Linked DNA regions of Tamandua tetradactyla. The protein of the gene in region 3 purifies or fractionates together with the protein of the main gene of each other region. This does not show direct contact. Links are inferred from orthologs where the notes say so. Each region holds a gene or a part of one and is shown on either strand. Other genes may lie near its edges. The genes, in order: KDM5A, SAP130 and SIN3B.

Evidence for each region.
Region 1: the proteins of SIN3B (region 3) and KDM5A purify together in Homo sapiens (affinity purification with mass spectrometry; 4 studies listed by BioGRID and IntAct, with this or other methods). This does not show direct contact. The link is inferred for Tamandua tetradactyla from reciprocal best matches to the Homo sapiens genes SIN3B and KDM5A.
Region 2: the proteins of SIN3B (region 3) and SAP130 purify together in Homo sapiens (affinity purification with mass spectrometry; 3 studies listed by BioGRID and IntAct, with this or other methods). This does not show direct contact. The link is inferred for Tamandua tetradactyla from reciprocal best matches to the Homo sapiens genes SIN3B and SAP130.

Annotation. Positions count from the first base shown.
Region 1 is NC_135333.1:64,210,322-64,220,840, reverse strand, and holds the start of KDM5A (lysine-specific demethylase 5A), read right to left. Parts: upstream 4,558-10,519; 5' UTR 4,130-4,557; coding exon 3,965-4,129; intron 1,392-3,964; coding exon 1,314-1,391; intron 1-1,313. UniProt on the Homo sapiens protein: Histone demethylase that specifically demethylates 'Lys-4' of histone H3, thereby playing a central role in histone code. Does not demethylate histone H3 'Lys-9', H3 'Lys-27', H3 'Lys-36', H3 'Lys-79' or H4 'Lys-20'.
Region 2 is NC_135329.1:84,674,065-84,684,199, reverse strand, and holds the start of SAP130 (histone deacetylase complex subunit SAP130), read right to left. Parts: upstream 4,477-10,135; 5' UTR 4,418-4,476; coding exon 4,397-4,417; intron 3,602-4,396; coding exon 3,484-3,601; intron 1-3,483. UniProt on the Homo sapiens protein: Acts as a transcriptional repressor. May function in the assembly and/or enzymatic activity of the mSin3A corepressor complex or in mediating interactions between the complex and other regulatory complexes.
Region 3 is NC_135337.1:95,276,864-95,287,180, forward strand, and holds the start of SIN3B (paired amphipathic helix protein Sin3b), read left to right. Parts: upstream 1-5,874; coding exon 5,875-5,979; intron 5,980-6,218; coding exon 6,219-6,325; intron 6,326-7,486; coding exon 7,487-7,640; intron 7,641-10,317.

The DNA.
Region 1 (10,519 bases), on a different chromosome or scaffold from region 3:
ACTTGTTTTAATTGGGACATTTTCTCGGCCTTAGACTGTAAACTAGCAACTTATTAAATTCCCCTTTTAAAACCATTCCATTTCTGGTATATTGCATTCCAGCAGTTAGCAGACTAGAACACAAGCTTTTAGGGAACTGCAAATCAAAACCACAATGACATATCATTTCATACCTACCAGAATGGCCACTATTAAACAAACAGAAAAATAAAACTGTTGGAGAAGATGTGGAGAAACAGGAACACCCATTCACTGCTGGTGAGAATGCAAAAGTGTGCAGCTACTGTGGAAGACAGATTGGAAATTCCTCAGGAAGCTAAGTATAGAACTGCCATATGATCTGGCAATTCCACTATTAGGTATATAGTAGAATTGAAAGCAAGGACCCAGACATTTAAACACCGCTATTCACAGTGGCATTTTTCACAATTGCCAAAAGATGGAAACAACCCAAATGTCCATCAATCAATGAATGGATAAGCAAAATGTATATACATACAAAGGATTATTCAGCTGTGAAAAGGAATGAAGTCCTGATGCATGCGGCAACATGGATGAACCTTGAGGATTTCATGTTGAGTGACATAAGCCAGAAACAAAACGACAAATACTGTATGATCTCACTGACATGAACTAATTATAAAAAGCAAACTCACAGAGTTAGAATCTAGAATATAGGTTACCTGGGGATACACTGGAGGTAGAGACTGGGGTGCCAATGCTTAATTTGTACAGAATTTCTATTTAGGTTGAATGTAAACATTTGGAAATGGATAGTGGTGATGGTAGCACATTACTGTGAGCGTAATTAATAGCACTGGATTATTCTTGTGAATGTGGTTGATAGGTTAAGAAGGAAAGAAGACAAAACATGGGACTACACAACAGTGATCACTACTGTGGACGATGGACTGGAGTTAATAGTATAAATATGAGAATGTTCTTTCATGAATTACAACAAATACATGACACTATTGCAGAGTGTTACTAATAGGGTGGTATATGGGGGAAAGTAATATAAACTATAGACTACAATTAATATTTTAATATTTTTTCATTAATTTTAACAAAGGTACCACAGTAATGCAGTGTCAACAATGGGGGGTATACAGGAACACTGTACTTTTTACATTACTTTTCTCTAAACCTACAACTTCTCTCATTAAAAATACATAATTAATCAGATAACTTCCTCCAAATCTCAATTCCAATTATCACTAACTTTGTGCCCTCGTACATGCTTCTCAAATTTCTCTCTGGAGTCCTCACATAAAGAATGAATTAGGATGCAGAAATGGAGACATAACACTCACCTCAAGTTCATTCAGGCGCTGGACTCGGGGAGTGAAGCGAAAGCTTTTTACTTCACATGCAAATGGAGGTTGCCAATCCTAAATAGACAGAATTGTTTTTTAACACAAGGGTATGAATATATTATCCATTCCTTTATTTTAAGGGGTGAGTTGCCACAGATTATAATAAGAACAATCAAATTATAAGTCCTCTTTATTAGAGAAACAGAAAGAATTGTATTTCTTAGATAAAATAATTTCAATAATACTCAAAAAAATAATATCTCTTCAAATCTCACCAGTCCTGTTATTTCCCACAATTATGCTTTCCCAAATTATTTCAAGTGGAATGCAATGAGCCCCTGTACCAATAAACATCCAACTTTATTTAAAAAAAAAAGTCAGAATTTGAAAGAAACTAAAAAAGGTAAAATTAAAGACAAAAAGTAAGTCTTAAAGTACTTAATATATATTTGGAAATATGTTTTTATACTTACGTGTAATGTGACATAGCACTTTACATTCTATATTACAAAAATCCTTTGTTTAAATGAAAGCCCAGCTTCTGGAACCCAAATATAAAAAAAAAAAAAGTTTGCAAACCCACTAGGACAAGGAAAATCTCCAGATGGATGCTGTGGAATAACTGAAATGAGATAGCATATTTCAAGTGGAGTTCTAGAGAATAAAGTTTGACTTGGCACATAAAAATCTGAGTAGTAGTTCAAAAAAATTATCTTCCCTTGAAAACTAAAGAAACCCACCAATATTAAGATTAAATTCTGCTTGTAAAACAAGATTTATTTCAATAAAAATGATATAACACACAAGAGAAGGTATACTATTTCAACCTCTTTAAAAAAATTTTTTTTAATTAAAGATTTTCATAATATAGAATGTAAACTGCTATATCACATTACACATAAATGTAAAAACATATTTGCAAATGTGTATTAAGTACTTTAAAACTTTTTCGTCTTCAATTTTACTAAAACTTTATTTAAAATTTCTAATTAATAAAGGCAACAGAGTAGATTAAAATACAGTTTAGAAAAAAACCTTAATGTTGAAGGTTTTGTCAATATTAGGTAATTCTGACAGAAAATGAGGGTTACTGAAGCTTTTAGAAGATGGTGATACATATCACCATAGTAATTACCTGTTAATTGTTTGTTTACAACTGATAGTCTATGATCTTAATCAATTCATTCATCACAGTAGGAATAGCATGCATGGTCTTTAGAATCTGTTTACAGACCTAGGTTCAAAAATATACCTTGCAGTTTACCCATGATCACACACTTAATAACTGACTTAACTTACGGAGACTTGCCTCATCTATAAAATGAGGACTTTATTTACTTACTAAAACTTCACAGAAGATTACTGAAACAATATATACATACAAAGCCCTTGCCAAACAGGAGGGGCTAAATTAGCTTCTCCTCCCTGCCCACCTCCTGCTTCCCAGCTAAATTCCTTTTATTTGCTGTGGTAGTCTATGGTGAGGACAAATGAATTTTCTATGACAATCTAAGAGAGAAGTTTTTAAAATCCAACACAGTAACAGTGCCTAATATTTTGTTTACTACCACTAAAACAAAACATAAAGGAAGGTGTCTTCTGGAAGCACTGTCCAAGACAATGGTGCACAAAATTTAATGTGCATTAAGAATCATATGAAAGTAATTTGCTAGAAAAGCAGATTCCAGAAATTGATCTATCTAGTCTGGGAATGAGGCTTACAAATCTGCATTTTAACAAGCATCCAGTTAACCCTGGTGCAGGTGGACCAAGAATATCATTCGAAAAGCATATGTCTAATGTGATAAAGACAATACCTAGATAACCTGAGATCCTGTATGACTCAAGCGACCAATAAACCTTGTGACCTTGCGCAAATCACTTAACCTCTTGGGGCACTAATTCACCCAAAGAGGTAGTATCTGTTTTCCTTAACTTATATTAAAGATCGATGATGGTAATAAACCTACAACATATCTGGTTATTTAGAAATAACGCGACTCGTACATCTTTGATCCTTGGTTCCTTGGATCGAGAGAGTTCAACATTTTCTTTCACCTCCAAGACACAACCAATTCTTCCTAAACCTCTAAATTTTAAAGATAAATGCTGCTCCTTCTCTACCCCTGGGAAGACTTTCAGTGCTGCAATAATCCAGTCTGGGGTTCTCGTTTCTTTCTGGGGAACAACTAGAGCTCAGATTACCTATTAAGATACCCTAACACTGAGATGAAGCCTGCGAATATTTAATAAACTAAACAGTAATAGGACCTGGATAAAGAAACAGAAGGAAGAACAGTTTTATAATCGCATCGTTATGTGGATTGAACACGAGGTACATGTCACGTCATAACATTTCTAAAGTCTAATACTCCCAATACATCGAAGGCCATACTTGTAGGACAACGAAAGGCCTTTTGTTACCCATGCCTTCAATCCAAAGAAGGAGAAAACTATCAGCTTTCAAGCGCTAGAAGGAAAAGCTCCCAGGGACACACACCACTATCTCGACTTCAGAAATAAAAGACACGGTAATAATATACAGAACCTTAGCCTCGAACTGCTGAAAAAGAAGGGTGAATAAATACGTAATGACAGAAAAACCGGAAAAATAAAGCTAAACCAAGAGTCCTCACAGACTTCAGTACCTTGGGCGGTCGGATCTTGCAGATGCCAGTTTTCTCGGCCAGAGGCCGGATGCGGCCGATAAAGCTGAGTGGGTCTGTGAACTCCTCCCAGCTAGGCTCAAACACTGGGCATTCCGGGGGTGGCACAAACTCCGCCGCATAGCCCCCCGGCCCCACACCCGCCATGGCAATACCCAGGAGGGCTCCGTGGGCGAACAGGTGGAAAAAGGCTGTCTGAAGCCCACCAAGCCTTTCACGTCCCCTGACAGGGACCGAAGCACATCTTCTCTGACAAAAACTGCTCAATAGAGGAACACCAGACTCGCTTCCTCCTCTCGTTTGTTATTGTTTCCTCCGGGGCTTTTCCTCTCAAGGGAAGGACTTTTCCGGAAGTCAACGTACTATCAAATCCCTCCGCCACGACGCCTCGCTATGCGACCCTTTCTTCTTCCTCCCTTTCCCGGAAGCGCAGTGTCGCTCCTTCTCTCCTTGCCGGCGACTGTTTTGCGCAGTCCGACGAGTCCAGACGGCCCACCCTTGAGAGTTCCACGATCACTCCTCCAGAAGAGGTAGAAATGGTGTAAAGCTGCCGGGGCGGAGGCGGGACGCGCTCTTCCGGCGCGGAGGAATGTGTAATGCTTCAGAGGGCAGAGGTTCTGCTTCCGGTGTGGAGGGTCCAGTTCCCTTTTGTGTATAAGAGGACAGGAAAAGGAGCTTGTTCTAACTTCACTCACTCCGCCCCGTTGCTGGTGGTTTGCGGCTTGTTTTAACCTACTTGCCTTCCTTTTACCAAGTTACTAGCCTTTTCAACGTGTCTCCTTCTCTTTTTCTTTTTTCTTTCTTTTTTTTTTTGTGTGTGTGTGTCTTTTTGACTGCTAGTATCTCGAGTAATCTTCCTGGGCCATTCCCCTCCTCCATGGCAACTTCTGGTCGAATTTATCCCCCAAGTCTTGCAGTAGGACATTAGCTCCCATCCAGGAATTGCTTTTCGTCCCACATAGACGTAGCAGCTCTTTTCCTTGCTTATCCGGTAATTGTCATGCTCCAAGTCATCTCATATAACAGTAACCACTTCCTTCTGACAACCCTGGCCCCGTAAGCCTTTCTCAATTTGCCGTGAAAGCCATAACCATTGCTTGTCAGAAACATGTGTGTCAGTGTCTATCTCCCACTTTCTCCAAATTGTAGAGAGTAACGTAGAAGGGACTAAAAGGAAAACTGTGAAACGTTAGTGTTAAGTAAACACTGGGAGGTAAACTTTCGTCCTAGATTCCCTTTTTAGATATACATACTCCCCAGGCAGCCTCAGCTACTCTCCGGACCTAAATTGCCAATTTAGGCTCCTGAATCTGTATTTCCAGCCTAGTCTTCTGAACCCAGTTCCAAGCCAATACTTACAGCTACCTACTGGACAATTCCAGTTGGGTCACTTAAAATCATTCAGTGTTTCTGGTTCTATGAATGATTTCATCCAATTGCTTGAGCCAGAAATCTAGAAATAATCCTTAACTCCTTATACTCCTTTTCCCCTTATATACAATCGTGTGTGAAGACTGGAGATTGTATCACCCCAAAATTTTAAATCCATCTGTGTCTATCAGTCCTCATTACCAGTATCCTAATTTAAGTTCTCTAACCCAAACTGTGATAACTGCTCAGTTCTTTGCCCCTCCAGTCAGACTCTGGATTAATTTGTCTAGAAACCCAGAATTCATCTTGTCACTTTCATATCCAAACTCTTTTACTACTTTCTGTATTTCTTCCTAGCTTCATCGCTTATACTCCTCCATGTATGCCACATAAATTTTTGTGATGGCTTTAAAACATCCTGCTTACTCTCACCTCTGAGCCTTCACAAGTAATATTTCCTCTGTCTGGAACATTTTTGTACTTTCCTGACCCCACACCATTCCAACAATTATGTATATCCTCTTACTGGTTAAATTCCTATGTATCCTTCTTCCTATACATCAGCTGAAATATCACTTCCTCTGGAAAGTATCCCCAGCTCCTGGGGATGCTTGGTACATAGAAGGTATGCAATAAATTCTTGTTAAATAAATAAAAAACATTCACCAAATAAACTGCCTTGTGTTTCATTGCCTCATCCTATATTTACATATGCCAAATTTTGTTTGAGACTGTATCAGGATGTGACATACATAATATTCCTTTGTTTAACTATAGCATCCACAGTAGTTAATACCCAATTACTCATACCCACTAACCTAAACCCCATATGCAAACACTTTTAGGGAATATTTCTGTTTGTTGGATAACAAACAACCTCAGAATCTGATGTTCTCTTGGTCTCATCTGAAATCACTCATGTAGCCACAATCATCTGATGGCTTGGGTTGAACGGTTTGAGATGGTCTCACTTGCATGTCTACCAGATGGTGCTGGCTGTTGGCTGAGAAGCCCCAGTTCTCCACATAGCTTCTCATACTTGGCAAATTAGTGGATTTGTCAGGGTTCTCCAGAGAAGTAGAAGTGACAGGATATATATGTGTGTGTATATGTGTGTGTGTGTGTGTGTGTATACATATGTATGTTTGTTATATATATAAATGTTAAGATTTACTGTAGGAAATTGGTTCACATTACCAACCACGGGGATTGGCAAGTCTAAATTCTGCTGGACAGACCACAAATTGGGAACTTGAAGATGATTTTGAATTCCTCAGGAGAGGAGGGCTGGCTGAAATAGAGATAAAAGTTATTTCTGACTGCTAAAATCCTCAGATCTCTCTTTAGGGTCTCCAACTGATTGGATGAGGAGATTTCTCACATTGCTGAAGGCAGTTTCCTTTGTTGATTGTAGATGTAATCATCCACAGACAATTGACTGACTAATGATTAAAATCCATGCAATACCCTCCCAGTAATAATCAGGCCGCTGCTTGTTTGACAAATAACTAGAAAGAATAACCTGGCCAAGGTGATACATGATGTTCTAGTTTGGTAGCTGCCAGAATGCAATATACTAGTAACAGAATGGCTTTTAAAAAGAGGAATTTAATGAGTTGCTAGTTTACAGTTCTAAGGCTGAGAAAATGAGCCAATTAAAGCAAATCTATAGGATGTCCGATCTAAGGCCTCCAGAGAAAGATACCTTGGTTCAGGGTTTCTCTCTTAAGTGAGAAGGCACATGGCAAACACAGTCAGGGTTTCCCTCTCATCTGGAAAGGCACATGGTGAACACGGTCAGGGTTCCTCTCTCATCTGGAAGGGCATATGGCGAGCACAGAGTCATCTGCTAGCTTTCTCTCCTGGCTTACTGTTTCATGAAGCTCCCCGGGAGGCATTTTCCTTCTTCATCTCCAGAGGTCGCTGGCTGGTGAACTCTGCTTCTCGTGGCTATGTCATTCTTCTCTGCTTTCTCTGAATCTCCATTCTCCAAAATATTTCCTCTTTTATAGGACTCCAGTAAACCAATCAAGACCCACCCAAATGGGTGGAGACATGTTATCACCTAATCCAACTTAACAACCAATCACTCTTGACTAAATCACATCATCCACATACACATCAACATTGTAATGATCTGATTACAGTTTCAAACATACAGTATTGAATAGGAATTATTCTACCTTTATGAAATGGGATTTTGATTAAAACATGGCTTTTCTAGGGGGCATACATCCTTTCAAACCAGCATACATGAAATTAACCCATCATGGTTAAACTGGGCTTTTTCGCAACATGATGGCTTCAGGGTTCCAGGAGGGTGAGAATGGAAGCCTAAGCCTAAGCCTAAGGACTGGATTTCAGGATGTACACGATCACTTCCAATGCATTTTGTTGAACAAAACAAGCTAGAAAGCCATCCTAGATTCAGGGTGTGTGTGAAATAGACTTCATTTCATGATGGGAGGAGTAACAACATAACATTGCAAAGGGATATGGATGCAGGGAAGTGTGAGTCATTGCATACAATTAGAATGATTTACGATAAAAGTCTGAGATTTTTACTACTTACATCTGGAAAGCCATACTATTCACAAAAAAAGGAGTAATAATTGAAATCTAAATAAAAACATTTGTTCTAGTTTGCTAGTTGCCGGAGTGCAATATACCAGAAACAGAATGGCTTTTTAAAAGGGAAATTTAATAAGCTACAAGTTTACAGTTTTAAGGCCACAAAAATGTCCCAATTAAAGTAAGTCTATAGAAATGTCCAATCTAAGGTATCCAGGAAAAGATACCTTGATTCAAGAAGGCCGATGAAGTTCAGGGTTTCTCTCTCAAGAGGAAAGGCACACGACGAACACAATCAGGGTTTCTCTCTCGGCTGGAAGGGCACATGGTGAACACAGTGTCATCTGTTAGCTTCTCTCCTGGCTTCCTGTTTCATGAAGCTCCCCAGGAGGAGTTTTCCTTCATCTCCAAAGGTTGCTAGCTGGTAGACTCTCTGCTTTTCGTGGCTATGTTGTTCTGCTCTCTTAGAATCTCTTGCTTTCTTCAAAATGTTTCCTCTTTTATAGGATTCCAGTAAACTAATCAAGACCCACCCGGAATGGGTAGAGTTTAACAACCACTCTTGATTGAGTCACATCTCCAGGGAGATAATCTAATTATAGTTTCAAACATTCAGTACTGAATAGGGATTAGAAGAAACGACTGCCTTTACAATATGGGATTAGGATTAAAACATGGCTTTTCTAGAGTACATACATCCATTCAAACTGGCACAACACTGAAATAATTCATTTGGTTAAGCATTCAATTAAAATATAATGGTTTTGCTTTAAAATTATTAATAAAGTAATAATTTATTTATGTTATTTTATAAATAATAGGATATTTATAATCCTATTATAGGCCCTCTATGAGTGCCAACTCCTAAAACTTTGATCATCCCTATTTGTTTCCTGTTGTTCTTTCAAGCTATACTTACCTATTACTTTATCTTAAACTGTCACCCTAACAGAACTTATAGTCATAGAAAATTACTCTCTATCATTTTAAAAATTTTTATTCTTGTAACATATAAACAACTTAAATTTTTCCCTTTTAGCCACATTCAAATATATAATTCCATGTTGTTAATTACAGCCACAATGTTGTGTTACTATTACCATCATCCATTACCAAAATTTTACCATCTAAAGGGTATAGAAAAAAAAGGGAAACAAAGACTAAAATATATTGGGTAGATAGAAATACTAGCAGTTAATGAGAAGGAGGGGTACGGGGTATGGTATGTATGAACTTTCTCTTTTTATTTCTTTTTCTGAATTGATGCAAATGTTCTAAGAAATGATCATGGTGATGAATATACAACTATGTGATGATATTGTGCTGTTGATTATATACCAAGAATGAAATGATCTTATGGTAAGAATGTTCATATTTGTATGTTATGTTTAGAAAAAAATAAAAAAACTTTACCATCACTCTAAACACAAGCTCTGTACCAGTTAAGCATTAACTCCTGATTCCCTACCCCCACCCTTGACCCTGTATTCTAATTTCTGACTCTATGGATTTGCTAATTCTAATTATTTCATTTTAGTGAGATCGTACAATATTTGCCCTTTTCTGTCTAACTTATTTTGTTCAGCATGATGTCTTCAAGGTTCATCCATGTTGTCGTATGTTTCAGAATTTCATTCCTTTTCATGGCTGAATAATATTCCATTGCATGTGTATACCACATTCTGTTTATATGGACACTTGGGTTGTTTACATCTTTTGGCTATTGTGAAAAATGCTGCTATGAAGACTGGTGTACAAAATATCTTTTCGTAACACTGCTTTCAATTCTTTGGGATACAATACCTGGCAGTGGGATTGCTGGGTCATTTCTCAATCAATTTTTATCCGCCTCAATGCTCCTGAGAAATCTGTTAACAATCACTTTCTCTAGCAGTGAGTCTGTAAGAGAAAGGCAGTAAATCAATCTGTGGTGGGGATAAAAAAGTTCTCCAGTTCTACCTACCTCAGATTCTGATGCTTCCCAAGGAAGAGGAGGTGACTCCCCACCTCCCCCTCCCACCCCCCCATACCCATCCCTTTGAGACTCAACTATTATAAAGACCCAAAATGTGTGTTTTATAGTTCCTATGGCACCAATCTACACACAGGATGTTAAATTGACTGTCACAATAGTATTTGGGTCTCTGGACAGATCTGCTGAATCCATAGCTACAGTTTAATGGTGTTAGGTTTTTTTTCTTCATAATTTAAACTTTCCTTGAAAATAACATCTCAGAAGAAAAACTTTTAAATATTATTACAGTATTATGTATTACTACCCTAAGTGCTAGAATAAAATAAATACTTAACTCTGATAATTCTATTGAAATGCTGCCACACATTATTCAATTTCTCTTTACCTTTATAACTTTCAATTATGTTTCTTGATGGCTAAATGAAAGACATGTTGTCACAATATTCCAAATCCTGATACAAATGTAATACTTTAACTAAAAACTCTTCCTTATGTGCATTTTTTTCCTTCACTTCGAATGCTACCCTGCACTAATTGAACTTTATTAGATCATCACAATTTCCTTAAAAGTCCATTAATTTTTTTTTTAATGAAATATTCTTAATATGTGTCATGGTCAG
Region 2 (10,135 bases), on a different chromosome or scaffold from region 3:
TTTTAGTCATTCTGGTAGGTAGGTGTGCAGTAGGTTCTCACTGTTTAAATTTGCACTGCCCTAAGCATTCATGATGGTGAGCATTTTTTCATGTGCTTCTTTGACATTCAGACAGGTTTTTTGATGAAGTGTGCATTCAAATACTTTGCCCACTTAAAAAGATTCAGGTTGTTTGTCCTCTTACTAGAGTTGAAGGGGCTCCTTATATATTCAGGATGTAAGTTGTTCTAGTTTGCTAGCTGCTGGAATGCAATATACCAGAAACGGAATGGTTTTTAAAAAGGGGAATTTAATGAGTTGCTAGTTTACAGTTCTAAGTCCGAGAAAATGTCCCAATTAAAACAAGTCTATAGAAATGTCCAATCAAAGGCATCCAGGGAAAGACACCCTGGTTCAAGAAGGCTGATGAAGTTCAGGGTTTCTCTCTCAAATGAGATGGCACATGGCAAACACAGTCAGGGCTTCTCTCTCAGCTGGAAGGGCACATGGCAAATACGGCGTCATCTGCTAGCTTTCTCTCCTGGCTTCCTATTTCATGAAGCTCCCCGGGAGGCATCTTCCTTCTTCATCTCCAAAGGTCACTGGCTGGTGGACTCTCTGCTTCGTGGTGCAGCAGCATTCTCTGCCCTCTCTGAGTCTCTCATTCTCCAAAATGTTTCCTCTTTTATAGGACTTCAGAAACTAATCAAGACCCACTCAAATGGGTGGAGACATGTCATCCCCTAATCCAGTTTAACAACCATTCTTAACTAAATCTCATCAATCAGGGAGATGATTTCATTACAGTTTCAAACATACAGTATTGAATAGAGATTATTTTACCTTTATGAAATGGGATTTATATTAACACATGGCTTTTCTTAGGGGGCATGCTTCCTTTCAAACCAGCACATAAATCCTTTGCAGATACATCTATTACAAACGCCTTCTCTCAGTCCGTCGGTTTTAATTGTGATGAAGTCCAATGTATCAACTTTTTTTCTCATGAATAGTGTTTTTGTGATCTAAGCAATTCTGGCTTACCTCAAGATTGCCAACAGTTTCTCCCATGTTTTCTTACAGAAATTTTAAGTTTTCTAGTTAGGCCTATGATACATTTTGAGTTAATTTTTGGGTACAGTGAATGTAAGGTCAAAATTCATTATTTCCATATGGATATTCTATGGTTCCAAAACTATTTTGTTGAAAAGACTATCATTTCCCTATTATCTTTGCACTTTTGTAAAAAAATCAATGTGTGAGTTTATTTCCGGATCTCCACTCTGTTCCAGTGAATTACATTTCTATCAATACCATACAGTCTTGATTAGCGCAGATTTATAAAAGTCTTGGAATGAGGTACTATAGTTCTCCAATTTTTATTTTTTGGGTCAAAATTGCTATGACTATTGTAGGTGCTTCAGAATTCCTTATCAATTTTAGAATCAGATTGACAATTTTACAGAAGAGCCCGCTGGACTCTGTTTAGGATTTCTTTGACTCTATAGCTCCCTTTCGGAAGAACTGATAACTTAAAACTACTGAGTCTTCCAATCCAGGAACAAGAAATATCTTTTCATTTTGTAGGTCTTCTTTAATTCCTCTAAGCGATGTTTAGTTTTCAGACTACAGGTTTTGCACATGCTTTGTTAAATTTATCCTTACGTATTTCACGATTAAAAAAAAATTGTGGTAACATATAAAAAACTTCTCATTTTAACCACTTTCATGGGGAAAATTCAGCAATATTAATTACATTCACAATTTTGTGTTATGATTACATGTCATGCTTTTTTCCTATTATTGAAAATGACATTTAAAAACTTTCACTGTTCACTGCTGGTATTTAGAAATAATTGTATATTGAATTTGTACCTTACTCAGAAAAAAATTTTATACACTTTTTTAGTGTAATTGAAGAAATAAACTTCCATATACATATATACTCTTCAAAAGTAAATTTATGAAGTAAACTTATGACTTTCTTTTCATTTAACCAACAAGGTTTGAGAGAAATTATTGCTAATTAACACTTTCTAAAATGAGCTGTGTAATTCCTTGCAAAGGATAAGTGTTCAAAATATTTTCTTTAGCTATACTATACTTTAAATAACCCTTCAATCAATTTATCCCAAAGATAAAATATTGTCAAAAATATTTCTTAGGGAATAAAAAGAACCTCAAGTCCCTCAACAAGAACTTATGACCACTACCTTGAACACTATTTTGTCATAAGGAGCATGAGACAGACACAACCCCAGCCCTCAAGTAGTCTTCAGTCTCAGAGGAGGTCTAAGACTGAACTGTGGACGATGAAGTTGGCAAAGATGCCATCAACACAGAAAGCGACATCTGAGATGAAACCTGAAGAATAGGAATTAGCCATAGAAGTGTGTGTGAACAGGAAGATGGCAGTGAAAGGAATGAAACGTACAGAGGCCTGAGGTCATGAACACTGGGAACGTTTCATCATTCGTTCATCAAATCAATAGATAATATAAAGCAGGAGGCATAAAGCAGTTTAAAGTATCTGTAAGTCTAACAAGCATGAGAATGAACTGAAAAAAGTAAACTGAAAAAAGGTAAAGGGTTGGAAGAAGGGGAAAGTAGCAGGAAATGAGACTGGGACATGAGAAAGGTGTCACAGCTTGTAGGTAAAAGGCACAGACAAAGCAATTAAAGATGATGTCTGAGCTCTTCAAGCAATGAGTAGATGGCGCCACCTTCTACCATATAAGGAACACAGTTTGCAAAGCCACTTCACTTTGCAATGCCACCTTTTGATTTGATACAAAGCAAGATGAGAAAGAGAACATTTGACAGAGAATCAAGAACAACACTGAAAGGTAAGGAACTTTCCTCTTCTGACTCCCAGGTCACTTCTCCTCTAAGCAGGGCTCTGCAGGCCTCTGTAGCCACAGCACTACTGCGACGTTGGACCAGGTGTTTCTTTGTTATGTAGCGTGACTGTGCACTGCAGGATAAACAGTGGCATCTCTGGCTTCTACCCACTGATGCCAGTAGCATCTTCACTGGGACAACCAAAATGTTTGCAGAGATCGACAAACATTCCCTAGTAGGCAAAATCATCCTCTACTGAAAGGCAAGGATCCACAGCATTTAAGGGGCGCCTAGCCAAAACTTGCATAAAGACTTCTTACCCTCTTTTCCAGGTAGTAAATTCCTAAAAGGCAAGACCTATCCTTTACTTTACATACCTCTGTTCCCCAATGATGCTATCACCATACATCTGAGCCTTGGACAGGAGCACATTAACACATTTAAAAAATATATTCCTGTAGGCAAGCTTTACTATAAGTTGCACAATATACAATGATGCATGTCAATGAAGTGGTTAAAACAAAAAAACAAAAAGACTTGTAAAATATCCTGTTTTCAAATTAAAATTACTTGGTGTTTACTAAAATTCTAGGGAAATTTGCTAATTTTTAAATCAGAAAATGAGCAACACACTCTTATATGGTGTAAAAATTATAATCTTACCTGCAGCAGTTGGATTTATCAATCCTGCAGAACCACTGCTTGAAATCTGTGAAGGAGTTTGGCTCAGCCCAGTGGAAGGGGTTCCCAAACGAGGAAACTGCTGAGAACTCATTTCCACCTGCAGTAAATACAGTCATATGATTATGGCTAGATTCTGAGATTAGAAACAATATTAAATATTATCTTCCCTCAGAAATGCAAATGCAACAAGTTTTCTAAAAAAAAAGAAAATCACTTATGATGGATACACAGGGCAAAAATAACCTAAATTCTGTATCTGCTATGTATTCAGGCTCAATTAATAAAATCATTTCTACAGTGCTGGGGGATACCATGACCCTCTAAATACCTGTGGACTGTAGACTAAAAAAAAAGAACAGGGAATCCTGTACAACAGCCACATTACAGCTACTGACATGATGCACACGTGTCCGTGTAAAGTTTTAGGGGGAATGGAGCCTGTCTGTGATTGGTTTAAACCTGACACCAAGGTGAACAGAACCATACTCAATCTGTCATATAGGAGAATTCAGAACGGAGATGCCGGATCCTAAGAGAGGATCAGAAACCGTATGTCAAGACCTGACCAGAAAAAAATTCTCAAATGCTTTTTTTGTAAAGGCCTTTACAGATTTCCTCTTTTTCTCCTGGTTTCACAGACCCCCCTCCCCCCCAGGAGCCTGAGGGACCCGAGCGCTTCAGTCATTTTCGTGCCCACTTTCCCACAGGAGCCCAGCTCTCCGGATCTCCTCCATTAGTTCGCAGGCGCTTCCCCGCCCCAAAGCCCACGACAGAGAGAGACAGAGGTTTCAGCCGCCGGGGGTCTCAGGGGCTCCGTCTGGGGGGAACAGGACAACCAGCACCCTGGTACCTGCAGCCGTCTCCCGCCACCCGTCCCCATTTCGCCATTCACCGGGGGTCGTGGGGGGCCCATGTCGCTAGAGGCACTGGGCGAGGGGCGAGGATGGGACGCCGGGCAAGCGCGCCGCTGTCCAGCCCCGCCGGCCGCCTAGCCCTCAAGGCTTGGCAGCCTCTGGGCCACCGGCCCGCTCCCCCGCCTCCCCCGCCACTCATTGGCCCAACGCCGGTCACGTCACTCGGGGCCAGCGCCAATCCGCTGCGGCCGTCGCACTTCGGGCCCGCCCCTCCCTCCCGCCGACGACCGACCAATCAGGTACGAGCCTGGCCGGGGCGCCCCCGCCCCTGGTGACCGAGCCAATGGTCGTAGCAGCCGGGCACTCCCGGCGGAGGGGGCGGGGAGCTGGCAGGCCCCGCCTCGGCCCCGGTCTGAAAGCGGCGGGCGCAGGGCCCGGATGTGGAGAGTCACTTTAAACTGCTCCGGGAGCCAAACTACCCCGGCCGCCCGCCCGCGTCCCCGGCCCTCAGCTCCCCGCCCAGGCCCTGGCCCGCCACGCCCCCACGCCCGGCCAGCCCGGCCCTCCCAGTCGCCTCTTCCCTCTCCGCAGCGGGACTCCAGCCCCTGCGGCCGGCACAACCGCCGTGCCCAGGTCGCGAAGGAGCCCGAGTCCCGGCTGGGGGCGCCAAGCCCCGCTGCCCTTCCCCGGGGACGCGCGGCGGGACGGACGCTGCTGCCCGGCGCGGCGCCCCGCCCCCTCGCCACCTCCCCTCCCAGCCCCGGCGCCCGTCCCGCCATGACCTGGGCGCTGCGCCGGGTGGTCGCCGCGCCGCCTCGAGCTCTCCCCCGTGCGCCGTCCGCCTCTGGGGTCGCCGTCCTCGGGCTCCGGACCCGCCACCGCCGCCGCCGGGGCACTAGCACTCTGCCCCCCACCCCTCAGCCCAGCGCCGCTGCTTCCGCCGCCGTAACGAGCCTCCCGCCGATTGGCCGCAGCCGGCCCCGCCCTCCCCCGGGAAGACCAATTGCCGCTCCAAGTGAGCGGGAGAGCAGACGGGCCCGCCTCCCGAGGCCTCGGCGACTTCTGGGAAATGTAGTCCATGGAGCCGGGAGGGCGGGCCGCGAGGGCGATGGGAAACTCCGGGGCGGGGCCTGCTGGTGACCTGGGCTGGAGCTGTGGGCCCTTCAGAGGTCTGGGCACCGTCTACTGTTTTTCTTCACCGACCGGGGACACGGCGGGTCACCCCCATTTCGACACTGTCGGAGGCACTGTGTTCCATTTTCCTGAGACGTTAAGGGGCCGTGGCGCGCGAAAAGGGCAATGGAGGTCGTGGTGTGGCGGGTCAGCGTTCCGCCGTGGTGGCACTTGACTCGTCCCCGAGGCCCTGGCCCGCGAAGCCCAAGCAACGTGGGGGCCCCAGCACCTCAGCGCAGCAGGCAGACTCGGAGAGGGGGCCCTGGCTACGAACCGGGGCGCCGCGTCCTGGTGCTCTTTGTCGCGGCCGTAAAGCCGCGGAAAGGACATGGGTTCATTCTGTTTCTGTTGTCGGGCGCAGATAGGTGCAGTTTATACATTCGTGAAACCTGCAGCCAAAGCTGCTGAGGCAAAATGAGGGTCTGCGTCCCCATCGTTCCTCCCTATGTAGTAATTAGGCCTGGGAGCGCTGTGACGGGTTAAGATATAATTCCGGCTCAGATCCCTTCTTCCTATCATTGCACAGCTGTCTAAGACAGCTGCTTGCTGGGAGGAGAGTAGCTCAGAGTAACAAGAGTGAGTCTCAAATACCAGCCCTCCTCCCTCAAGCTACTTTCTCCCTTCCCTTCATTCCCAGACATCTTCCAAAAGTAACTCGCATTACATATTTTAGCTTCCTCTCTCTACCCCTTGTGGATTCTGGTCCTGCCATCCTTCTCAAACTGCTCCCTAAAAGTGGCCAGTGACGTATTCAATTTCAAATTTGGTGGTCCTTGCTTAGTTCTCATGTTGTTTAGTTAATGACCAGGAATTCCTCCTTAAAATGATCTTCCACTGGCCTCCATAATCACACTCTCTCCTGGTTCTGCTCAAGCTTCATCACACCTTCTCTTGAAATAAATATGGTATTTTCTAAGGCCCCAACTCTTTTTTGATACTTTACTATCTTCATAAATGGGGCAATAAACTCGCACAGTTTCAAATGTCACATTTGTGAGTGATTCCAATGTTTACCTACACGGTGACCTCTCTCTGAGTTGTACCCCGGTATACCCAGGAGCTGTACCAATCCACATCACTGTCTGACAAGCTCCTCAAACTTAACTTATTAAAAGGTTGTATTGATTTGCCTCACCTATCTGCTCTGCTCCCTGGGTTCCTGGGCATTACCACTCTTTCAGTCTTTCGTCAGACTTCTTGTTTCTCACTCTCCCATCTCCCGAAGTTGCTATATTGTATTCATTATGACTTTTCTGCATCCTTTCCAATCACTTCCATAGCCTTGGGCTTCACCATTTCTTGTCTGGATCACAGTAATACAGCCTCCTTTCTAATCTCTTCCTAACCCCTGTCTATCATTGTTTGGGTTTGCTAAAGCTGCCAGAATGCAACATACCAGAAATGAATTGGCTTTTATAAAGGGGATTTATTAAGTTATAAGTTACAATTCTTAGGCTGTGAGAATGTCCAAATTAAGGCACCTAACAAGAGGATACTGTTATAGTTTGCTAGCTGCCAGAATGCAATATACCAGAAACGAAATGGCTTTTAAAAAGAGGAATTTATTAAGTTGCTAGCTTACAGTTCTAAGGCCATGAACATTTCCCAATTAAAGCAAGTCTATAAAAATGTCCAAATTAAGGCACCAACAAGAGGTTACCATCACTTAAGAAAGGCCAAGAAGTTCAGGGTCTCTCTCTCAACTGGAAAGGTACATGGCAAACATGGCGGCATCTGCTAGCTTTCTCTCCAGGCTTCTTGTTTCATGAAACTCCCACTGGGGTGTTTTCCTTCTTCATCTCCAAAGGTCTCTGGCTGCGTGGGCTCTTGTGGTTCTCGTGGCTCTCCCATGGTTCTTATGGTTCTCTAGTGGCTCTGTCTCTTTCTCCAAAATGCTTCCTCTTTTAAACAACTCCAGTAAACTGGGATGGGTGGAGTCACCTCTAATGAAAGGTTAATACCCACAATTGGGTGAGTCACATCTCTGTAGAGATAATTTAATCAAGTTTCCAGCCTACAGTACTGAATAGGGATTAAAGAAAGGCTGCCTCCATAAAATGGGATTAGGATTAAGACACGGCCTTTCTAGGGTACACAAATCCTTTCAAACCAGCACAGAAACCTTCTCAAAATAAAGGCTGATTTTCTCTGTCTGAGGTTTCTCTGTTGCATGGGAAGGCACATGGCAACCTCTGCTGTCCCTTCCAGCTTCTGGTTTCAAACAGCTCTCTCAACGTCTGGCATATCCTGGGGCTTCTGGCATCTTGTGCATCTCCAAACATCTGTGTCTGCTCTCTGTGTCAACTCTTTTAAGGACTCCAGAAAACTAATTAAGACCCACCTTGAATGGGTGGGATCATATCTCCATTTAATCAAAAGGTCCCACCCACAGTTGGGCAGGTCACATGGAAAAACCCAATCAAAAGGCTCCGCTTAATGATAGTCTTCCCCCACAAGATCGTGTTAGAATTTTTAAAAACTTGACTTTTCTGGGGTACATAACAGTTTCAAACCAGCATAGTCCTCCACAGAGGTCTTTTTCTAAAGCCTTTACCTGAGTCTGTCTGTGCCTCCCATGATGTTCCAATAACTTTCAAATACAATCAATACCCTAAGTTCAGTATTCAAAGGCCTTAGTAATTCAACCCTTTATACCTCTTCAAACACTGAATGCTCTTTTCAGCAACAGTTTCCATCAGTTCTCCATACAGTTTGGCTTCCAGAGTTTTGCTCAAGCCTGAAATACTTTCTATAGGTCTCAATCTTCTGCAATCATCTGCTAGCATTCTGTCAATTCTATAATTCCTAACCAAAAAACAAACAAAGAAGATTTATATTCTCCAAGAAACTTTCTTCAAATTCCTACCCACACCCCCCTACTCTCTGAATACCTCTGTGGAATTTCCTCAGGCACTCTATTCCAAGACTAATTGTGCCTACCCTTTATTTCTCCTGGACTAGGATGAGAGAGAAATTACTCATCCTTTCTTCCATCTATGGGACTTTATATACAGGTGGCATTCAGTAGTTTACCTAGTATAATCACAAATACATCCATAGCACATGAATGAAATCTGAGTGGTCCTTAGTTACCAGGGACAGTCTCTGCTGCCATATTCATTCCTATCTCCAGTCCCTTATATAAGGGACACTTGAAGGAAGGTAGGTGCTTTGCTCAAGGTTATGTTGCTGAACTTAGAACTCCCATCTACTGAGCTTAGTATACTAATTGAGGCTGAAAACATTCTTCTTACTCAAGAGTTAAAGCCACCTGCCAAAGTTTTAGGAGCTTACTATTCTCTTGCATTCCTAAAAATGATGTCTACACAAGATAATATGGAAGGTTGAGCCAAAAAAATTTAGACACCTCACCTGCTAAGTTGTTTTCTAGAGAAGGACTGTCTGCCAACAAGAAGGACAAATTCTCAATGCAGGTGACTTGTGGTAGTCAATCAGATGTCAGTGTGTGGTCTGCTGGTGTTAATAAAAGTTTCATGGGCTTCTCTCCTGCTTAACCCAGCTGGTTCTCACTCTGGCAGGACCTGGCATGCTAACATCTGGATCCTTGTGCATTCTCTAGTTTCATATGCTCCCCTTGGTCCAAATACCCAGCCAGGGAAAGCCTAGTCCCTTCTCGTTTCCTCATCTGTAAAGCGATTACTTTTCTCAATCTCCTCATATAGATCAAATGAGCCATACATATAAAGGATGTGATGCCTTGGAAGTTACTCACCTCCATTGTTTTTTTTTTTGTTGTTGTTATTGTTGTTTTGTTTTTAGATATTCCAATACCTTTTTTCTTCTTCTTATTTTTTAGGCTCCCCCTTTCTCTTTTTTAAAGACAGTGCAGTTCTATTTTGAATATAATTTAGGGTAAGACTCAACTCCCCAATTTATGCAAAAGGACAAAATCTTGCAAATCTGCCTGGTCCACTTTTATATTTAAATAAGGATATGTGTGCAGCTGCTGTTTCTGGTAAAACCAAAAACAGTGGAATTAAAAAGTGAATAGATTATAGAGGACAATCATTTTTCCTTCATCAAATCCATCAGGTCATCTTCTAGGCCTTTCTCACTCAGCTCATCTAAGCTGTAGTATCGATGAACTATTTTCTCAGTGGTGACCATGGTGACTCGGAGCCCATGGGTGTGATTGCCCAACTGGCATCTGATGGCCACCATGACACCACCATGGTAGGTTCTGGAAGGTGCCGCCAGCATTCCTGTGGTAGTGGCCTGAGAACACAACTTTGATACCTGCTCTGGTGAGCTTATCTGCCAGCTCCTGACGGACTGACTTGCTGAGGTTGAAGGAGTCATTGTCTTCCTCAGTGTTCTACATGAACAGTGGAATATGCTGGAAGATGAAGGCATGCTGGCACCAGCACTCCCCTGCGGTGCTCAGCCGCTCATCCAGCCACTGGTCTTGGTCTTGTTTCAGGGCTGGGCACTTGGAGGCATTGTAGAAGAGCTGGGAATTGAGAATGAGGAACAGGATGCCCTCAACCCAGAAGCTGAAACAGTCGTCTACCCAGGTCTAACGGAACTCCACCAGGGACTCAGCTGTGGGGGTATTGCTGACGTGGTGGTTGTGGCTGACGAAG
Region 3 (10,317 bases):
AGACCATAAAAAAGTTAGAGGAAAATGTAGGGAGATATCTTATAAATCTTATAATTGGAGGCGGTTTTATGGACCTTACACCTAAAGCAAGAGCACTGAAGATATAAATAAATAAATGGGAGCTCCTCAAAATTAAACACTTTTGTGCATCAAAGAACTTCATTAAGAAAGTAAAAAGACAATGTAGAATGGAATGATATCTTAATGTTTTGTTTGTTAATTTTTTTAATTAATAAAAAAAGTTAAAAAAAAAATTTAAGGCAGGTTCAGACCTGGTTATTAAAAAAAAAAAAAGAGAGAGAGAGAAAGTAAAAAGTCAGCCTGCACAATGGGAGACAATATTTGGAAATGACATATCAGATAAAGGTCTAGTATCCAGAATTTATAAAGAGATAGTTCAACTCAACAACAAAAAGACAGCCAATCCAATTACAAAATGGGAAAAAGACTTGAACAGACACTTCTCAGAAGAGAAAATACAAATGGCCAAAAGGCACATGAAGAGATGCTCAACATCCCTGGCCATTAGAGAAATGCAAATCAAAACCACAATGAGATATCATTCCACACCCACCAGAATGGCCATTATCAACAAAACAGAAAATGACAAGTGCTGGAGAGGATGCGGAGAAAGAGGCACACTTATTCACTGTTGGTGGGAATGTCAAATGGTGCAACCACTGCGGAAGGCAGTTTGGCGGTTCCTCAAAAAGCTGAATATAGAATTGCCATATGACCCAGCAATACCATTGCTAGGTATCTACTCAAAGGACTTAAGGGCAAAGACACAAACGGACATTTGCACACCAATGTTTATAGCAGCATTATTACAATTGCAAGGAGATGGAAACAGCCAAAATGTCCATCAACAGACAAGTGGCTAAACAAACTGTGGTATATACATACGATGGAATATTATGCAGCTTTAAGACAGAACAAACTTATGAAGTATGTAACAACATGGATGGACCTAGAGAACATTATGGTGAGTGAGACTAGCCAAAAACTAAAGGACAAATACTGTATGGTCTCACTGATACAAACTGACATTAGTGAATAAACTTGGAATATGTTGTTGGTAACAGAGTCCAGCAGGAGTTAGAAACAGGATAAGATAATGGGTAATTGGAGCTGAAGGGATACAGACTGTGCAACAGGACTAGATACAAAAACTCAAAAATGGACAGCACAATAATACCTAATCGTAAAGTAATCATGTTAAAACACTGAATGAAGCTGCATCTGAGCTATAGGTTTTTTTTTTTTTTTACTATTATTATCACTTTTATTTTTTTTCTCTATATTAACATTCTATATCTTTTTCTGTTGTGTTGCTAGTTCTTCTAAACTGATGCAAATGTACTAAGAAATGGTGATCATGCATCTTTGTGATGATGTTAAGAATTACTGATTGCATATGTAGAATGGTATGATTTCTAAATGTTGGGTTAATTTCTTTTTTTCCATTAATTAATAAAAAAAATTGCAATAGAGCATAATAAATGTTTTATCAGAATCTTATAAAGTATAATGGTGACCAAAGGTGTGTTAGGGATGGTAAAAAAAAACCTCAGAAATGGACAGCACAATACTACCTAACTGCAATGTAATTATGTTAAAACACTGAATGAAGCTGCATGTGAGAATGATAGAGGGAGGAGGGCTGGGGACATAAATGAAATCAGAAAGAAAGATAGATGGTAAAGATCGAGATGGTATAATCTAGGAATGCCTAGAGTGTATAATAATAGTGAAATGTACTATGTACAAACTTTAAAAATGTTTTTGCATGAGGAAGAACAAAGGAATGTCATTATTGTAGTGTGCTGAAAACAGATGATAATTAATACTTTAAAATGTCACCTTCTGTGTGAGACTAAAGCAAAAAAATGTTTATTTGTTACAAAATTTATATTTTGACTAGAGCATTTCCTAATATAACTCATGTAGATAGTTTGATTGAATGTCGTAAGAACTTGGAATCTGAGGTAGGACATGAGATTTTGTTGGTTTGCCCAGAGTGATGCCCCAATGAATCCCAGAGTGATTTGATCAGTGACTGGAAAAGTATTTGCAAGCCCCCTTCGGGGAATGGTGAGAACTGGGGAAAACTCAACTTCCCCAAGTTGAATTCTTGATATTCTCACAAGCAGTGTGGACAACCAAAGCTATAGGCTGAGCCCCCAGTCTTGGGGTTTGTTCATATGAAACTTAACCCCACAAAGGATAGGTCAAGTCTACTTAAAATTTAGGCCTAAGAGTCACCCCCAAGAGAGCCTCTTTTGTTGCTCAGATGTGGCCTCTCTCTCCAGCCAACATGATGAGCAGTCTCACCACCCTCCCCCTGTCTGCGTGGGACATGACTCCCAGGGGTGTGGACCTTCCTGGCAACGTGGGACAGAGATCCTGGAATGAGCTGAGACTCAACATCAAGGGATTGAGAAAAACCCTAGAATGAGCTGAGAATTAGCATCAAGAGATTGAGAGAACCTTCTCGACCAAAGGGGGAAGAGTGAAATGAGACTAAGTGTCAATGGCTGAGATTCCAAACAGAGTCGAGAGGTTATTCTGCAGGTTATTCTTATGCATTAAGTAGATAGATATCACCTTGTTGTTCAAGATGTAGCAGAGAGACTGGAGGGAACCGCCTGAAAATGTAGAGCTGTGTTCCAGGAGCCATGTTTCTTGATGATGATTGAACAATGATATAGCTTTCACAATGAGACTCTGTGAATGTGAAAACCTTGTGTCTGATGCTCCTTTTAGCTACTATATCAACAGAAGAGTAGAACATATGGAATAAAAATAAATAATAGGGGGAACAAATGTTAAAATAAATTTAGTTTGAAATGCTAGTGGTAAATGAAAGCAAGGGGTAAGGGATATGGTATGTATAATCTTTTTTTTCTTTATTATCGTTTTATTTCTTTTTCTGTTGTCTTTTTATTTCTTTTTCTAAATCGATGCAAATGTTCTAAGAAATGATGAATATGCAACTATGTGATAATATTAAGAATTACTGATTGTATATGTAGAATGGAATGGTATCTTAATGTTTTGTTTGTTAATTTTTTTTAATTAATAAAAAAAAGTTAAAAAAAAAAAAAGATGTAATGGAGAGGCTGGAGGGAACTGCCTGAAAATGTAGATCTGTGTTCCAGTAGCCATGTTTCTTGAAGATGATTGTATAATGCTATAGCTTTCACATTGTGACTGTGTGATTGTGAAAACCTTGTGTCTGATGCTCCTTTTATCTACCTTATGGACAGAGGAGTAAAATATATGGATTAAAAATAAATGAATAATAGGGGGAACAAATTTAAAATAGATTTAGTAGGATGAAATACTAGTGATCAATGAAAGGGAGGGGTAAGGGATATGGTACGTATGAATTTTTTTTCTATTTTCTTCTTCTGGATTCATGCAAACATTCTAAGAAATGATCATGATGATGAATATATATATATATATTTTTTTAAAGTGCAGTTCTACCAGCTAAAGGTCAACCCCCAAAGCCCTAAATTATCCCTAGGATTCTGCTCCCACTCCACTCAGCATCCACCCCCTGCACCTCCTCTCTCCCTCCCTCTCTGCAGTCCAGGAGTGCTGGCCTTTTTGTCTGTTGTAGAACGTGCTGTGCTTCCCCTCCCACCCCAGGGCTCTTGCACAGCCGTTCAATCGGACTTTTCTCAGGGTTAACACCTAGCACCCTTCAGCTCTCAACGGGAGCCCCGCCTCCTGGGGGAAGCCTTCTCCATCTTCTGCTAAACTGGAGTAAGTCCCCCGGGAGGCAGAGAGCATTTTCCAAGACCTGTCATGGCAGCATTTCCCACCTCGCATGCTGTTCCAGACCCTGGCACTGCCCAGTTGTGGGGCCCATCTGCCCTCCTCTCGAAGTGGGGCGGGACCCCATAACTGCCTCTCTGGAAAGGACGCGGTGCAGAAGCCTGTGCATGACTTCCGAGGGCACGAAGGCTGGGGCGCTCCAACCTGGCTGTCTCAGGACACCTGCTCTCGGAACCCAGCTGCACACAGCGTCTCCTCTCTGACCGAGAAGTGACCACTCCCCTGACCCCCACCCCCTCTGCCAGCCCTCCTGCAACTCCCGGAAGCACACAGCCCACCCTGAGGGCATCTTACGTTGAGAAAAAAGCATATCCCCAGATGTTTTCCCAAAATGTGCCCGCAAGCCCCTGGCCGTCAGCATGCTTAGGGCCCTGGGCCTTTTTAATCTAAAGAGTGGGTCCATAGGTGCCGACATACCAGAGCGAACTTTTTGCCATCATGCTGTCTGTCCCAAGGTAGCTGCAGCTTTCTGGAAGTTTCCTAATAAATGCCTAAGGACCAGTCGTCCTGGTGTCCAGTCCTTCTTTCTTCGGAAGCTCAACAGGCCCACTGTGGGGTGGTTTGGGGCAGTCCCAACTGGGTGTCCCCCTCTTTCTTTCTCGATGACTCCTGCTGTTGGTTCAGCGGATGCAACACCATTTCGTCGGGAGACTCCAGCTGCATGGGGAAAGGGAGGTGTCCATGCGATTGTCCCAGGGAAGACCTCACACAGCAGCAAATACCAGGCTTGGGAGAGAGCAAAGCCTCCCAGATGTGGAGGATGAAGAGCTGAGCTCTCCCCTCCCCACCTGCCCCAAGCTGTAGTTTTGTGCATAACATAAGGCTTTAAGCCTTCAAGTCTTGAGTGTGCTTTGTTACTTGGAAATAGTGACTGGAATACTCTGTTACCTCCTCTTGGAAGCATTTGTTACAGTTAAGCCTTTACATCACATGTGTCTGCACAGAAACAATTGTTTGTATAATTCCTATATATCTATCCTAAAAGGCAGAGAGCTCTGGAAGGGCAGAACCAGCTCAGTTTTTTTTTTTAATCATTATTCCATTCCTGATGCCTTACACAGAGCCTGGCACATGATGCCATCATTTCATATTTAGTCTCAGCTTCCCTGCCCATCTTCACATATGAAAAACAAGATGCCACGTGGTCATGAGTTGAATGTTCACTCACTCGATCAGTGCTCGCTGATGTGACCATGTCAGGCAACTGTTTTAGAGATGAAGCATAAAACAAAAATGACATGCCTGGGACTATGAGAATAAAAGGCAGGGTCTGAGAAGCTTCCCAAGGGAGGGGACATTTGAGATGGGTTTTGAAGGATGTGTAGGAGTTTTCTCAGCAACGAGGACACAAAATAGGGACCATGGAGGAGGACATGGCATGTCCTGATATATGGGGGTAGGAAGCAGCCAAGCTGGTTAGGAGTAAGTTGGATGTTCTTCCCTCATAGAGAGCACTTGGCTTGGGTGGGAAATCCTGCCAGGAAAGGTGGGCGGGGGACCAGTTTCTGGTGGTCTTCAACGCTGCGTGAGGCTGCTGAGATTTAATCTCCTAAGACACAGGAAGACCCTGGATGTCTGGAAGCAGAGGTTTAGGAGCGTCTCTTGATGGAGATGGAGGTGAGAAAACTGGGGAAGAGGCTGCTGCCTCAGCTCTGCCTTCCTGGCCCAGCTCTGCCACCTGAGCGCAGAAGCAGCCACAGATTCAGGTGGAAACCCACGTGCGGAGACACTGAATTGTGAATTTCACAGCATTTTCGCGCAACACGAAATGCTCTTCTTTTGTGGATTTCCCCCCACCCCCAACTTTTTAAAACCGCACCGACCACTCCGACAGCGCTCGGTGGCCGGAGAGGTTATGAGCTTGCTCACCTGTTGTAAAAGCTTCACAGAGAGGCCCCGCCCCGAGGAAACCCCGCCCACGCCGAGGAAACCCCGCCCCTCCCGGCCCCACCCCGGGGCGGGGCCCGCGCATGCGCCGCTGGCGGCCGGGCGGGAGGGGCGGGGCGGGCCGCGGCTCCGACTTCCAACATGGCGCACGCTGGCGGCGGCGGCGGCGGCCCCGCGGGTCGGGGGCTTGGGGGCGCCCGCTGGGGCCGCTCGGGTTCCGCGGGCCACGAGAAGCTGCCAGTGCACGTGAGTGGCGCCCCGCCCTCCGCTGGGGACCCAGGTCCTCCCGTCTCCTCCGGTCTCCTCGGGCCGCCCCCCCTCAGGCCCGCGCCCCCCACCCGGCCCCGCCCGGCCCGGGCGCCGCCTCGGCCTCCCCAGACCCCGGCCCCCGCACCCCGGCCCCGACCCTCACCTCCACCGCCCTGCGGGTCCCCGGCCCCCGCTCCGCTGACCCGGGCCCGCCGGGACCCTCCCCCTCCCTGCAGGTGGAGGATGCCCTCACCTACCTGGACCAGGTGAAGATCCGCTTCGGCAGCGACCCTGCCACCTACAACGGCTTCCTGGAGATCATGAAGGAGTTCAAGAGCCAGAGGTGCCCGCGGGGTCCCTTCCTCCTCCCTGGGGGGCCTCCCCTGGGCTGCCCTGCTCTCCCCGAGTGCCGGGTGACCTTGTGCAGGTTGCTGATCCTCTCTGAACCTCAGTGTCGTCTTCTAAAAAATGGGAGTGGGTGGTCCCCACCCCGTGGAGCTGTTAAGGGGATTCCTGGAGGCAGGGCTGCCATTAGGGTGAGGCCAGCAGGGCAAGGGGGGTGGGGGTGGAATCCTGCCTGTTGAGAATGCTGATCTTTAATAGATTCAGCTGATCCAGGAACCCAGGAACTGCTTGCAGTAATTCAGAATCTTGTACAGTATCAAATTAAAATGTTATTTATTCTGAGGTTCTTGGCGATCCCTCCCCTCCACCATAAATTTTGCCCCTGGGGGTGAGGCTGTCGCTGGGCTTCGCCCTAGGCCCGGCCCTGCTTGGAAGCAATGGGGGTAAAATGCTTACTAAGGGACCTGGCACGCAGAAAGCATTTAAAAACACGAGTTGTTTTTGTAGGCACAGAATCAAGAGAGTTAGGGACAGTTGGGGAAGCACAGGACCAGGCGTTTGATTTACAGAAGGCTGGACTGGAACTCAGACCCTCCCACCCATGAATTCTCCCTTGTCTCCTTCCCACCCTGCTGCTCCCCAGTCTCGGGAAACACGGCAGGGCTCTCTTTCTGTGACTGAAGGAGGGCCCATCTCTCCCCTCACGTGCCTGTGCAGTCCTGATATCTACAGGGCCCCCGGTGTTTATACACTGCAGCAAATCGCATGGGCTCGAGACTATCCCACGTCACGTTTGATCCCAAATTCATCCTGTTGTGTGGAGGGCTTTGGCTCCTGCCACTCCTTCGCATCCAGGACTTGCAAGCTCGCTCTCCTGGCCATTTCAGATGCACATGCCCAGGCTCAGAGTGTTTGGGGGAGCAGCCTCATGTCCTGTTGGGGTTCTTCAGGGTCCTCACGGGATGAGCATACAGAGCCAGGCCAGGCTGCCCTGGAAATAGATCATTGCCTATGGAATCTTGCCAGCCGCCAAGACACTCTAGGTGGCCTTGCTGTTGATGATAAGCCGGTGCCGTGGCACTGTCTGGAGACAGCGTAGGGGAGCTTGTGATTTGCTCCCTGGGACCCTTTTGGCCACACGCATCCGTCTTTGTTGTAGCATCGACACTCCTGGTGTCATCCGGCGCGTCTCGCAGCTGTTTCACGAACACCCTGACCTCATCGTGGGATTCAATGCCTTCCTACCCCTCGGCTACAGAATCGACATTCCCAAGAATGGCAAACTAAACGTCCAGTCGCCGCTGACCAGCCAGGTATGCCACTATAGGGGCGTGAGGGGCCATGCGGTGCTGGATGGCGGGCCTGTGCCCCTGTCATCTGGCTGCCTGAAAGGCGCTGGGGCTCCGTCCTTCCCCAAGGTGTGCCGGCTGCTTCCATCCCAAATCAGAATAGATGGCAGCTCCCACCCGGGCAGCAACTGCACCCCAAACGGAGCAGTTGGGAGGACTGAAATCAGGGGTGGAAACATTTGTGTGCGTCAGGGAGGTGATTTTCTAACGCAGAATTTTACTTTTAGTCCAAATAACGGCTTCAGCAGCCGCCACTGCCTCGGTTTAAGACTGAGCCTGGAGTGTCCCTGACAGATCCTTCCAAGTCCCCAGACTTGCCCCTGTCCACCCTGGAAGCTCTCGGTGCCTCCAGTGAAACCCCGTTTTTACGATGAGTGCCTAAATGGCAGTTTTTATTGTTGCCGTGTTTCTTTAATACCTGTTGGGGTTGCTGGCTCAGGTCAGCCTCTCCCACCCCCAGGGTCATGGCTTCAGCTCCCTCCTTCTCTGGTGACAGGTTGCTGTCTCCCTGCAGTCCCTTGTTGTCTGAGCTTACAAGGCCCTCTGAGCCAAAGAAAGCCTATTTGAGCTTTACATTTAGAAGGTAATCATTGAATTTTTCCCAGCACTATTGCCCTTTGGAGCAGTTTGTTGCCGTGGAGGTAGGGTTGGCTGGCCGGTGCCTTGTGGGGTTTTTAAGCAGCGCCCCAGCCTCTACACACTGTATCCTCCAGCTGTTGCAACTGAAACTGCCCCCAGATGCAACCGAGTGACCCTTGGGGACAAAATTGTCCCTGGTTTGAGAACAACTAGTCTTAATGTACTCCTCTGGTCCCTGCCCCCAGGATTTCCGTAGAAAAGGTAAAAATCTGCGCAGGAGGCTCTGGGTAGGTTTCTCCTTTGATGGCAGAGTCACATGAATTAGGGAGTCGGGATCTGGAAAAAGAACTGCGAGAGGCGATGTGGCCGCGGTTGCCCTCTCTCCAGGGGTGGGTTGCACGTCAAGTCCCCATTTGCTGTCTGCCCAGCAAGCTCCCCATCAGCGTGCTGTCTCATTAAAGCTGAAAAGTGCATCTCAGTCTTAGAAACTCGGAAGTCTGGTGGTTGCTGCACGAAGAAGCCCTTCCATTCCATGCTTGCAAATGGATGCAAACGCAGGGCTCATGCCTGCAGTCGCTAAGAGCCTTGGCGGTGCCCAGACGTCGGGGAATGGATGTGAGAGCACTTCACGGAGGCTGAAGCACCTGTGAACATCGGGTGTAGTTAGCATTTGCTGAGAAAGAGCTGGAGTCGCAAGCCCCTAATTGCACTCGGCACATGGAAATTGCTTTTCAGCGACCCCTGACTGTTGGAGTAACTCTGGGGGCTGGGTCTTGGCGTGGAAAGAACTGGTGGGTTCTGAGACGATGCTTCCCTCAGGAGTTGCAGAGTCCCTGCTGCGCCGATGGTGGAAGCTGCCATGCATGTGACAGAGCCGGCTGCCACCCCGTCTCACCCTGCTTGGCTTGGGTGCCAGCGGTCTGTGGCCTTGCAGAAGGCTTTTAAGACCCTTTACTTCACAGCTACTAGACAAGGTTTTACCCTCTGCAGCCTGGAAGCAGCCGTTTCCAGGGCTTCATGTCTTGGTTGGAAAGATGCTTTGAATCCCGCTGTCTCAGTGGGTGTCGATGGATACAATCTGATTTCCAGGCTCTGCTTCCCAGCAGCCCATGTCATCCTCGGCATGCCTTCACTGTAGGGACGAGCGGGGTGACATTTGGGGTCCTGGGAACCCTTTGCAAGGTCCTCATAGCCTGAGGACCTCTTAATCTGCCCTAATGCAAAACCCTCAGGGTGATTTATTTATTGGTTTTTCTCACTTCACCATTTGGAAGTACAGCTTTTTTTTTCATATGTGTAATTTTCCCATTTCTTCATAAATCTCGTCCCCCTCAGACAAGAGTGGCTGCTAGACACCAGGGGTGCTAGTGAGAGAGGCCCAGGCTTTGGGGAGCCTTTGGGCAGGGCTCTGAGCTGCGGTGCTGCTGCCACGTGGGGCCAAGTGTTCTCTGAGGGGGGTGGGGGTGGGGGGGATGGCTTGCAGATGTTGGCCTGTGTCCCAGGCGGGGGGCAGGCTGGCGCAGGTGTAAGCATGCTGCCTGTCTCTTAACAGGAGGGTAGACAGGTGTGGGCCACGATGAGGGGTGCAGGGGAGCCAGCCCCATTTGGGATCTGCTCATCTGGCTTCAATTACAGTGTTGCCTCCTTGGGGAGCCCCTACTGTACCCCCTGGTCAGTCCCAGCCCACCCTGCTCTATATATTCCAGAATAGCTAAGCTGGAATGAGAACGTCAGGCCCATGCTGCTTGTGCTTTGCTTAGGGACTGCGCGTGCTTGAGGTTGGGCCGGCCCCTCCCTGTATTGTCCTCGGCCGTGTCCCCGTTCCCCCAACAGTGCCCGAAGCGTACCGTGTGTTTGCGAAACAGGGACCAGGGAAGGCCCGTGGAAGCTGGCAGAGGGGACAAACAGCCTGGCCCAGGGAGGTGGCAAGGCAGGAGATCCTTGGACTGCTGAAAACGAGAACCCTGGGCTGCTCCTAGGACACCAGGACAGCTGTGAGAGGCGTGGTAGTTCCTGGAACCCACAGGCCTGGCTCTGGAAGGTGTTGCGGGCGCGTCTGCTG